Linked DNA regions of Mus musculus: all the other regions are reported to be linked to region 2. The links are microRNA targets in miRTarBase. Many come from high-throughput screens and were not tested one by one. Region 2 holds a microRNA gene; each other region holds the end of a gene's coding sequence.

Region 1 (4,000 bases), not on the chromosome of region 2:
CTTGACTCTTGACTAAAGTTACTTTTCTTCCTATTTTTATTAACAGGCATCCCTAAATGTGTTTGTGCCTAGAGAAAGTGCTATGAATAACCGATGATGCATGTGTTGATTAACTTGTGAATCATGCTGGGGGTGGGGTGGGGGCAGGGAAGGAGCAGGAGCTTTAGAGATGAATATAATGTGTTGTAAAATATTTAGCAAATGATCATCCAAGCCACAGGGAAAAATCCAAGAGATGGGAATTTGAAAGCTGCCAGGATTTAAAAGCTATTTAACGCTAAGCATTGGTGCCAAAGAGCTGAGAGCATCCCTCTCCTCACTCCATTGGCAACAGAGCTTGAAAATGTGGAAAGGGCTTGGCTAGGCTGTGGAGCACTAGTGGGAACCGAGATCAGGCAGAGAGCTGAAAGGCCTCTTGTTTGAGAGCCTTGTAAACAAGGGATCGCCTCCCAGGACCCACTGAGAGCCCCACCTTGCCTGTGGCTTACACATTCTCTCTTGCCATCTCCCCGATAAACTCCCAACGTGGCGCCAACATTGTGAAGACACCCAGCAGTCATCGAGATGTTTCAAAATCCCCGGATGCTCTGCATCAAGGCAGAAAGAAACCACCATATGGCCGAGTGAATTTGTCACCTTCCTTCCAAATGTTTGGATGTCACTCAGACACAGCCTTGGCTCTGGTTCCAATGTGGCTTAGCTCTCTCTGTCATTTTAAACGTTTGGACTCTGAGGTTGCCTTTCTGAGGGATGTAGCATTTGTATATTTTTAGGGCTGGAGTCAAGGCTCACTTTCATAATCTCATTCTTTGGAGATACATTTCCTTCCAAGAGGATAGAAAGACCTTTCTTGATGTTTTGGCTTGACAGCCCCTCAACTCTAAAGTTGTAGTCTCCTGGGTAGAAACACCACTTGTTACGGTAAATGAAGGGATTAAGTTAGGGCCTGGGAACAGTCATCCTGGAGAGCAGAGACTTCAGGATCATTCAGTAACAAGGCATGCTTTAAAGACATGATGTGAATCTGATGGCTTTAACAACCCAGAAGCCTCTAACGCTAGGGAACAATTTATAACCTGCTCTGGCACTTGTCGCAAACATAACATGGAGCATGAGCCTTTGAGTTTAGCAAAGTAAGGGATCTCTGGGCAAATGGTCCTGAGAGTCACCGTATCTCTGCTGTCTATATCTAGGGCCAGGGAGCAGCAAGGCCCTCCCCTCTTCTGCTCGGTTGTTCTTTCTGGCTTTCTTTCCTGTAATGCCTTTTGTTGTCTTTCTTGCAGAGCCTCAATTCAGCACCATCCTGAGGCCTGCCTGAGTCCACAGGTTCCACCCTGACTTGTCAGTCTTTGTGAATCTTCGCTTCCCCACAAACGGTCCCCTAGCATGTGACCAAGAGCCCCAACCATTCATCCAGCACACAATTAGTTACCCGCATTATACTGTTTTAAGAAAGAGTCATGTTTTTCTTCTTAATTGAATGATAAGCTCATTTTGGCAGACTCTTTAACGTCTTAAAAATAATTATTTTTTTATTTATTTGTGTGTAGAGGTCAGAAGACAGCTTTTGTGAGCTGGTTCTTGACTTGCAACCTTTTGAAGCAGGGTTTTTCTTGTCTCTACTGCTGTGAATATTCCAGCTAACTGGGCTGAGAGCTTCCTGGACATTGTCTTGTCTCTGCCTCCTGTCTCATCATGAGTTGGGATTACAGATGCATGCTATCGATCCAACTTTTTATATGAATTCCATGGTTGGGAAGCAGGTGATCAGCCTTGTATGGCTTACTAAAGCATCTGTCCTTTCATATTTTTAAGTTAAAATATTTTATTTATGGGTATGTATATGTCATGTGTGTGTGTGGCTACCCAAAGAAAGCTTCAGAAGGACTGTAGTTGGGAGTTACAGGTGGTTGTGAGCCACCTGATATGGGTGCTGCCAGTACTCTTAACCACTGAGCCATCTCTCCAGCCACCCATTCCCTTTGCTTTTGAGATGGGGGTCTCATGTATCTTAGGCTGGCCTTGATAGAAAGGCAATATTGAAAGATAACCTTGGCCAGGCAGTGGTGGTACACACCTTTAATTCCAGTACTTGGGAGGCAGAGGTAGGCAGATTTCGGAGTTCAAGACCAGCCTGGTCTACAGAGTGAGTTCTAGGACAGCCAGGGTTATACAGAGAAACCCTGTCAAAAAAAAAAAAAAAAAAAAAAAAAAAAAAAAAAAAAAAAAAAGGAAAAGAAAGATAACCCTGAACTCCTGATCCTACTTCCTTCCTCCATTTCCTAAGTGCTATAATTAGAGATCTCTTTCAACGTGACTTTTTTTTTTTGATTGCTTTTGGTTTTGTTATTTTTTATTTATTTTTATTTTTTGCAGTGGTAGGGATCAAACCTATGGCTATCTGTTTGCTAGGTGAGCACCCAATCCCATAGTGTTAACACTTAAAACATTTGTGCTCTCTGGAGCTTCTAGCAGTGCTGAAATGACACCTCGGGCCACATTGGTGTCCCATTAGTAGGCAGTATAGTCAAACCTTCAAACTTGTAGGGTTTACATCCATGGGGCAAACATTCTGGGGGCATTTTAGTGAATTATTGAATTTTATGACTCTTCCCATTCTTGTCATGATTCCCAGCTATTATAATACAGCTTACAACATTTCCATTGTGTTAGGTATTGTAGGTATCTAGAGACAGTTCAAAGGATAGGGGACAGTATGCAGAGTTTACTTGAAACTCCTGTTATGAAAACTTGAACACCCATGGCTCCTTCAGGAGGCCTGGAGCCAGACCCCATGAGTATAGAGGGATGACAATATGTTAAACATGTTGCTGGTGATTCGTGAAAACTCAGAGTCGTGGGAGAAGTTTGGGTTCTTGTGAAGCCTTGAGAGCATGAGGACCTGAGTCCAGCTCCTCCCCTCCTCTCGAATCCACCTAAACATGCCAGACAGGGTAGTGATGGGCGGGTGGGGCCAGGCCGTTCCCCGGGGCTCACTGACCCTCTAGTCTAACCTAATTGGTTAAATTTAGGCCAAATGAAAGACCCTGTCTAAAAGTGGGTAGATGACAGTCCTGAGAATGAGCCAGCTTTAGAGCTGTCTCTGGGCCTCCATACACATACACAGCATCTACTCACACATAAACATATATATGAGCACATATGCATGTCAAAGGATGAAGAAAAGAAAGAAGAAAAGAAATAAAATGAGGAAATCCTTTCCCCCATCTGTGATGGCAGAATGGGAGACATGCATTCATTCTTTAAATACTATAAACAATTTTATAATGTGGTAATTTTTAATATTAAAAGTAAATTGTAAATGTATCTTTATAAACAATATGCATAAAATAGATCATGTTCTAAAACTTTTTGTTTTTAAATGCTTTTTCACAGTAAATTTCTTAGGTGTCAGATTTTTTTCCCTCAAAATAATAGTGCAATCAATAGAAGGAACACGTTGTCAGCGGGTGGGACTTTCCTGCTAATACAAGTCCTTGTAGATCTCCTGGAGCAGGGGGTGAAGGCTCATGTCTGTCTCTGTCTTCTTGATCACATGCAGTAGCTGCACGTGCTCTGTGACGATCTGCCTGAGGTCTGTCATCTTCTGGAGCACCTTGGCGAACAGCTGAGAGGACTCTGGGTGATTCAGCTTGAGCTGCAGTTCCAGGGCCTGCAGCAGGTTGTCTTGGATGTCCTCGATGGGCTTCACGTTCAGCAAGCCTGGGCGGTCTGGGAGAATGAGAAGACAAAAAGAGGCTTTGTCAGACCTCCTCTGGGGCTCTAAGGAGTGCAGCTTCAGATTCCCTGCTCCCCAGGCTGGAGAAGAAACCCAGTTCTCGAGCTGTTAGGCACATGCTTTACCGAAGAGCCAAGACCCCATCACCGCCCTGTTTCTTAAGCAGGTTCGTGGAGCGAGGCTCTGCAGCTAATGGGCAAGACCCAAGGATGGAATCAAAGGCTCAAGCCCTTCCCAACCAGGACTAACTGATGCAATGCC
Region 2 (4,150 bases):
CGAAGAGCCACCTCTTGCTGGTGGCTTTACTGCTTTTCCATCTGCATGTCATAATCTCTGCAAGTCAGGAGGCTTAAAACGCCCAAACCTAGAGTCTGTAGGTTTTTGGAAAATGCACCCAGATTGCACTGTCCTTCATTGCAGGAAATGACCACCAGGGGGCGTCTGGCTCCAGACAACGTCATTCGGAGCTCCGGAGGTCTCACCAGGTGCGGAGGGCAGCTGGGGACGCCTGTGTCCCCAGTGACCTGCCCATTGCATTTTTGGGCTGTGGATGAGACTCCCGTTCTTAGATGGATTCATCCAGCGGACGGCCTGGGCATTCTTCTCATTCTCCGGTTCTTTATGTCCTTAGCTGTGTCTGACAGGGTCATTGTTTAGGACCGTTCTCTTGGAAGCTGTGTGTGTGTGTGTGTTGCCTCTGTGGGGCACTATGGGAGCTGGCTGTGACTATGAGTGTGGCCATAGTTCATGGTGCGTTCCTTTGCTCCAGGGAGCCGATCAGAGGCGATCCGCCCCTTAGCCCTTCTGGCGCAGACGGGCGCGCGCGCGTGCGTGCGTGCGTGCGTGTGTGTGTGTGTGTGTGTGTGTGTGTGTGTGTGTGTAGACGGGCGCGCGCGCGTGCGTGTGTGTGTGCATGCGCGCGTGTCTGTCTGTGCTCGCATATGTGCCCGTCCTTAAGCCCTGTGTGTGTGTGTGTGTGTGTGTGTGTGCATGCGCGCGTGTCTGTCTGTGCGCGCATATGTGCCCGTCCTTAAGCCCTGGCATCTTGCCAGTCAGTGCATCCCAGCATAGGCAGAGTACATTCTTGTAACATACTCCCTCATGGAACTGGGGTGACCACAGATTGGTCTCATACACCCCAGGTCTGGGTTATCCCTCCCGTTCAAGCCATCCCCAAAGGATCCCAGGATCTTCAGGTCGCAGCACCTACTGACCACAGAACTATATTTACACCTTCCTAGAAGCAGGTGGAGCAAGGTTGGGGATAGGTGCAATGCAGGTTAGGAGCCCAGGGTGTGGTAGATATAGTGGTGCAGCTGGTATTCCCAAACTCCAGACACTGGAGGAGTTTGATTCAAGGTCAGCCTGGTCTACACAGAAATGCTGTTTCAAGAGAAATGAAAAAAGCCAGCAACACACATGTGGGAGGCGGGAATGAAGAGACGTCAGCCCTTACGGAATGAGGCTGTGGAGCTTTTATTTAGTTGGAGAACAACATTCAATACAAGCTTTCAACTCTGTTCTTCCACCCAGGCTTCGATTTGCCCCTGCCCAGAGTAGGGAGAGGACACTGTATGGTCTGGGAAGTGTAACTCAGCCAGTTCCAATTAGTCTGCATGCAGTCTCATTTGTGGGTAGTAGGCAACTTTTTAACTTCCAAGCCTGGAGATTACTTCAACAGGCCAATGGGGGGGGGGGGCATGGATCTGTTCATATCCTGAGGCCTGTGTGGACCTCGCTCCCTGCCTCGCTGTCACCAGCAGAAAGCTGCAGACCCCATGGGATTGCTAGGCACACTGGATCAGGTCAGTGCCTTCTTCCGGAAGCAGAGAGTTGGCATTTAACCGTTAGAGGGCCTAAAGCAGCTTCCTCTTGGGTAACTGACTTCAAAGATGGTATGTATAAGGGGTGGTGCCTGAGCCCCACCAGACTTAGGAAAAGAAGGGCTTCCAGGCCCTGAGGGGACATAACTGGCTTTTAATGCAAGGGTTACCCGCCCATCTATCTGCTTTGGGGAACCACAGAAATCTCAAGGTGGACACCCAGATGCAGGCTTAGAGGCTGAGCCTCCAGCAGACAACGGGGCTTAGGTTGGACTAATTACCCCATTGTTTCCAGGTCTTGCTCACGGCAGACATTCTGCAGGGTTGCCAGCTCCTAGGGGGCTGGACTCCTGTTCCTGCTGAACTGAGCCAGTGCACTGGAATCAACTGTTTCAGCTCAGTAGGCACGGGAGGCGGAGCCCGGAGAGAGGCAGAGCCCTGCCAGCCAGGAGGCAGAGCAGGGTGGGCAGCAGCGGCCTGAGGAGATGGGGTCCAGGGGGCGGAACTTAGCCACTGTGAACACGACTTTGCTGTGGACCTTGCTCACAAGCAGCTAAGCCCTGCTCCTCAGGCCAGTTGTCATGATAGGCTTCTCTGTTACCCAGTACCCAAGACAGACATCCTTGGCGACAGGAGCCCCCAAGGCAGAGCACAGGGTCAGTTGGAAATCCCTGGCAATGTGATTTGTGACTGGCATCAAATCCCATCCCCAGGAACCCCAGCCGTCCGAGGCACAGTGAGGGGGGCAGCAGGTGGGAGCGGAGTGTAGCACCTAAAGAGAGAAAGAAGAGACAGTGAGATTGGAGCATTCTTGCTTGCCTGCCTATCTTGACCAGGCTGGGTCTCACATAGCTGAACACAAGGTTTCCGAATGCACCAGTTCTTCCTGCCTCTACCTCTGGAGTCTAGGATTATAGGTACACCTCACCACACACAGTTTAAGTGGTGCTGGGGACAGAATCTAAACTCAGCTTGCTGATCCACACCCTAGCCCTCCTCTACTTCCAAGAGGGAAGAAGCATTCCCAAAAAAGAGGAGCATCGATCCGTAGGAAGGTTGGAGCGAGGCTGCTGGATGCTGGGCACCCAGCAGTGCCTCTACCCCAGCCCTACAAAGCGGGAGGTGCCTGAAGCCCTAAGGCCAAAGGGGCTGCAGAGCCTTCCCAGCTGCTTCCCACTCTGCTTCTATCCCCACCCACAGCCCTGAGCCCAAAGCAGGCCAAATGGGGCCATGGAGAGGAAGCTGAGGGAGGTGGACGGTTGGAGGGAGGAAGTGACCTCACCCCAGCTGGCGCCACTTCCTAGAAGCCTGAAGGGCAGGAGGAAACTCCAGGGCCTCCCACCTCAGCCCTCTCCTCCCCAGCCAGCTCAGACATAACCCCACCCCCACCCCACACCACCTAGGGCCCAAGCAAGGAGAAGCAGGCCGATGCACCCCAACAATAACACCTCAGTAAAGTTTCCCCTAGGCCTTCCAAGCCTCAGTTTCCCCATCTGTAAAGCAGACTACAACAGTTGCAGTTGGTGGCTCACGTTTATCTCAGCATTGAGGAAACTGAGGCAGGAAGGTTGCCAAGAATGGAGTCAAAAGCCTGCTTAAGCTACATGATGAGTTTTAGGCCTAACTGGGCTACAGTTTGAGACCCTAGTCTTAAATAGAAGAAAAACAAAAATAAAACAACAAAACCCCAAACCTTCTACTAGGAAGGCCAGTGAAAACTTACAGAGAAGGTATTTAGCACCCAGTACCAGGGCAAGCCACAAAATTTGGGGCCTACCCAATGTAGAGTAGTGTCCTGCGTGCCAGTTAAAGTTTTCAGGGGCCAGCAAGCTGATCCAGCAAGTGAGCAGAGCTGCTATGGAGCCCAATGCCCTGAGCTCAAACCCAAGAACCACGAAGAAGAAAAGCATACGGACCCTTGCAAGTTGTCCTCTGATCTCTGCACTTGGGAACACACACACACAATTTTTAAAAATTGTTTAAAGAATTTCAATGTTGGAGAGATGACAGGTTTCTTTCCCAGAACCTACATGACAAGCACAGCTATCTATAGCTCCATTCCCAAGAGCTCCAACGCTCCCCACTGGCCCCTGTGGGTACCAGGCATACATATGGTGCACAGACGTACGCGTAAGCAAACATTCACAAACAGACAATAAAAATAAACTTAAGAATGGTGGTGCACACTGTTAGTCCCAGCACTTGAAAGGCAAAGGAAAGCAAGAACCAGGCCTTGGACAGTACTATCTCTAAGAGTTCAAGGCCAGCTTGGTCTGTGTAGGGAGTTTCAGACCATCCAGGGCTACATAGTGACACAAGTGACCTTGTTTCAGATAAAGAGCTGACTCAGTGGTTAAGAGTGGCTACTGCTCTTGCAGAGGGCCCGAGTTTGGATCTCAGCACCTGTCACAACTACCTGTAACTCCAGCTTCTGGGGATTTCACTCCCTCTTCTGGTCTCTGAGTGTACTGCACTGTCATGCACAAAGACCAGACAACACACACACACACACACACACACACACACACACACACACACACACGTCTTCTTTATAAAACATCAGGGTCGGGCTGGTGAGATGGCTCAGTTGGTAAGAGCACCCG
Region 3 (4,000 bases), not on the chromosome of region 2:
GAAAACAATGTGGCTTTTTTTTTTCTTTGTATAAAAGGAAAAAACAATCCCCTCATTAAGGTGGGTTGGGCATCTACATGAAGGAAAAGCATGCGTCACTTACCTGGCCATGCTCCAGGACTTTCCAGAAGCCGAAATGCAAGCGCAGCAGCGTAGGGATGCACACTTACATTACGTACAAAATCTCAACAGTTGACGTCTGATACACAATAAATCCAAGAACAGCATCACAAAACACATCACTGAAGTATACTAAAATAAGGTTATTTACTGAAAAATGATACATTGGACATAATCTGTATATAGAACAAAGCAATTAATGGTAAACTTCATAAGGCACCTTTCAAATCAGATGCTGTACAAAATACACTTAGTGTTACATATCAAGATGAATCTATATTTTTGGTGTTTTACAACTGCATAATAAAAATGCTTTTTTTAAACCTGTCAATGCCTTATGTACAGTTTCCCTAAGCTATTAATATTTCCATTTTATACAATATATGCTACATTTTAGTTTTTAAGTGGGAAAAACAAAGGCCACTAAAGAGCTTAAATAATTCCACTGAAAGGAAAGAACAGAGCACAACCTAAAAGGACAGTATTATGTCTAATTTTTTGCCAAAGCCATACTCACAGGCTTTCTTTATGGGATGACCCTTCCTGTCCTCTGTGGACTGATACACTGCTTGCCTAGTTTCCACTCCTTACAGCCAGGAGGTGGGAGAACTGTCCCTGCTTAACATCTGACGCAAGTCAACTTGTGTCATTACCACAAGGGCTACACCACCTTTCTTTTCACATGACTTACACCTCTGTTGAAATGGAAACATTTCAAAACAATACATAGCTGAAAAGACAAGTATTGCTTAGGAAATCTGCCCTGGAATAGACTACTCAATATCCAATTTGACCTTAGGCCAAATCAGAGATGCAAGGTTCTTGAAAAATTCGTCCTTTTACTCTAAACAAGAAAAACATCTAAAAAAGAAAAGCAAATTGAATATCATTAGAATGAATAAATTAAAACTGGCACATTCCAGGACAACAGATGATGACAGCAAAAGGTGTCTTTATGTGCTTATTCAAGTTTCTAGACAGTGGAAGGGTTAACATAACATGCTGACTAAAATACCTTTTTGTTACAGTATTTCTAGAGAAATCAGTTCAGATTTTATACTCAGAACAGTACTCAGTAATGCAGAGACCTCAGAGAATCAGGCTGGGGCAAATCTTAACATGCTCTGTACCAGAGAACTACTGGTCATACAAACCACACATGACGGCTTCCTGGATTACTTGGTATTTATTTAGGCAGTTTGGGGTTTGGGGCTTTTATTTTTAATTATTTAAATGATGGCTGATTTTAGCCATCTGTTTTTTAAACTCTAGATTCAAAGGGGAACCAAATCATAGTTTCCAGATTTTTACAAGTTGTTAAGTAACTACATAATACTTATTCCATTACACAGTGGGTTCTATTCTTTTTTTCCTTTAAACTACTTTTGTGGAGTACATGGTGTGTGTCTGTGGGGAGGGGCGCAAGCCATGGAGTGTGTGGAAGTCAGAGGACAATGATGGGGTAGTTGGCTCCTCCCTTCGCCATGTGTCCCCCAGAGTCTGAATTGAGGTTGAGGACTTGGCAGCAAATGCCTTTATCTACTGAGCTATCTCACTGGCCAAAGGGCTGATACACTCTTTAAATATTTTTACTTACTGAATTTTACATTTATGGCTGAGAGGGAGAAGAGAACACAGTAAGTTTAATGCAACTTTTGATTTTAGGATTCCAAATAAGGAAAAGCAGCAGCGTTTGCCATTTCGAGAACGTCACTGATTCCCATGAATGCAGTGATGGCAGCGTGGGAAGGCAGTGACTAGAGCGCTCACTGCCTGCCTTATAATTAACTCCTGACAGCCTTTCTTAGAGAAGAGTCATTACAGTGGCTGCCACACACAACTGAAACATGCCAAAGAATTATTCCTTAGGTATATCATTAAGATGATAAGTGACAAAAAAGATTTAGTTTATTCAGGAAAGATATAAAATCAGACCTCAGTACTCTCAGGCTTTAGGTACATCAGATGAGACTCACTAAACAAACCAGGCAAGACAAATCTCAAATTTGTGGAATATGAGCTGTAGTTTAGTCATGCCTGTAGGTGGACAGATGGACATATGCTCTACCTGCCTCCCATTTAATTTCAGTCACTCTATGTGTTGATACAATCACCTTAAGTTTATGTTTCATCCAAAGAGCCAATGCCACTTGATGCTCACATGGCTTGTTTACTTAGAACATTTAAATAGTATGATATTGGTATAATAAGTTTGAACCAGATCTGTTTTTTGAGATAACAAGGCCTATATTTATTTTATAATAAAATACACATCATTTTATTTAATAACGTTCAGTGTAAATATGGGTAGTGACTGGGTACTTCTGCCTCTTGTCTTCACAATTAGGGACCAGAAATTGTAAAACCAAATTTCAAAAGATTTAGATATCTAAAATACATTTACTGTTAGTTGAAAAGTCAGCTGACATTCTCATAAAGATATGAGACAATATCTTAGTGAAGTTTTAAAATGCATGAATTCTGAAATTCATACATAGTTCTACTTTAAAACACTTCCCACCAAGGATCAGATGTGAGACAGAGTGTATGGGCTGTCTTGTATAGAACTGAGTGTGTAGGTAAAACATGGCTAGAATGACAGCTGTGCAGGTTCTGAAAATAAAAGCATGTTACACAAGAATCAACTTTCCTTTTTAGGAGGTACCGAGAACAAAGACTCCAGAATTTGATCATAGGTATGCACATTGTGATCAGATGCAGTACGGAAGAGGCGTTTCTTTCAAAGTATGGTTCAAGACAGAGAGCTCCAATTCTGGATAGGTGGCTTTTTATAACAAAAATAATTACCAAAAGGAGAACAAAATGGTGACTGGGGGAAAACAGTCCAAGTCTATGGACACTTTACATGGAGTTTGGCCTTCACAACTATTATGCTAAAAATAAAGTCAGTGGAGAAGTTACTACAGTTACAAGGTGGATGGCTTTTATGAAATTGGCGATTGTCAACTAGATATTGCATATTTAAACCACTGGCCACAAATACCTTCCTGTGCAACCTTTACATTCTTGTCTTCTAAGCCCTAGGGCAGCAGAGAATTCTGGTATGCATATCAAAGGTATGGTGCACCATCATAAACCAGGCAGTATCCCAAAGAGATCATAATCTATAGGCTGTTTACAAAGACAGAACACAGACAGATGTTTTCTCTGGTAGAAGGCAAATATGCCTTTTTCCATCTCTGCTGAGCTCATTAATTTTCTTAAGGCTTTCACAGAAAGCACCACTTTATGGACAGGATAGTGAGTACCCAGAGGTTGACCAGAGACTTCTTATCAGGATTGGAGTCTTGATGCAGTTCATAAAAACCAAAAAAGCATCAAAACCAAAACAAAACAAAAAAAGCAAAACAAAAAAACCCCACATTTAAAACAAAGCTGTCCATATATAAAGAATGACATGTTTGAAGTTCCAAGTTCCAATCTTGTATTCTGTAGAGTACGGTAAGGTTTACTGTTAGCAGCCTGTGAAGATGTAGAGGAAGGAGTCTGGAAACCAAGTCAACATCCTATTCCATGCTAATCCCACCCATTCCTTGGGTGAAGAAGTTCTTGCAGTCTAAATTCTCCCTCAAAATTGTTTAATTGTCAAATCTTTACATCCTGGGATTCAACCATTTTTGCAAGTGTCTTCTTGATTCTCAAAGCTGTGAGTCTGGAGGCTGGATTATGGGCCCAACATTCTGACATTAGCTTCAAAACTGCTCGAAGACACTAAAGAGAAATAAATGCAAACAGAGTGTGGTGAGCACAGAGTAACTCGGCACTCACTCATCACTTTACAGGGACTTGGCTCCAACTTACTTCATCGCTGTTCCAGCGGTTAGACACGATTGGCCGCAAGCGTTTCACACACACAACC

What was found. Region 2 holds the annotated microRNA mmu-miR-27a-3p (UUCACAGUGGCUAAGUUCCGC, at 2,047-2,067, opposite strand). A microRNA usually pairs through its seed, bases 2 to 8, with sites in the 3' UTR of a target mRNA and lowers its output. Matches are read on the target gene's strand: a 7mer-m8 pairs with bases 2 to 8, a 7mer-A1 pairs with bases 2 to 7 and ends in A, and an 8mer does both.
Region 1: miRTarBase lists Pparg as a target of mmu-miR-27a-3p. Seed matches in the 3' UTR shown: 8mer at 3,390-3,397.
Region 3: miRTarBase lists Bmpr1a as a target of mmu-miR-27a-3p. Seed matches in the 3' UTR shown: 7mer-A1 at 3,350-3,356.

What each region holds. Positions count from the first base shown.
Region 1 is chr6:115,489,680-115,493,679 of GRCm38, reverse strand. It overlaps Pparg (peroxisome proliferator activated receptor gamma), which reads right to left. Exons shown (of 8, transcript NM_001308354.1): 8 at 3,279-3,732. The coding sequence ends at 3,485. Among named protein-coding and RNA genes, the nearest start is that of Gm36301, 28 kb to the left of the region's middle.
Region 2 is chr8:84,206,644-84,210,793 of GRCm38, reverse strand. It overlaps Mir27a (microRNA 27a), which reads right to left and starts at 2,122; the gene lies at 2,036-2,122. Mir23a (microRNA 23a) reads right to left here and starts at 2,276; the gene lies at 2,202-2,276. Mir24-2 (microRNA 24-2) reads right to left here and starts at 1,979; the gene lies at 1,873-1,979. Mir3074-2 (microRNA 3074-2) reads left to right here and starts at 1,887; the gene lies at 1,887-1,969.
Region 3 is chr14:34,410,818-34,414,817 of GRCm38, forward strand. It overlaps Bmpr1a (bone morphogenetic protein receptor, type 1A), which reads right to left. Exons shown (of 13, transcript NM_009758.4): 12 at 3,943-4,000; 13 at 251-3,852. The coding sequence ends at 3,727. Among named protein-coding and RNA genes, the nearest start is that of Mmrn2, 37 kb to the left of the region's middle.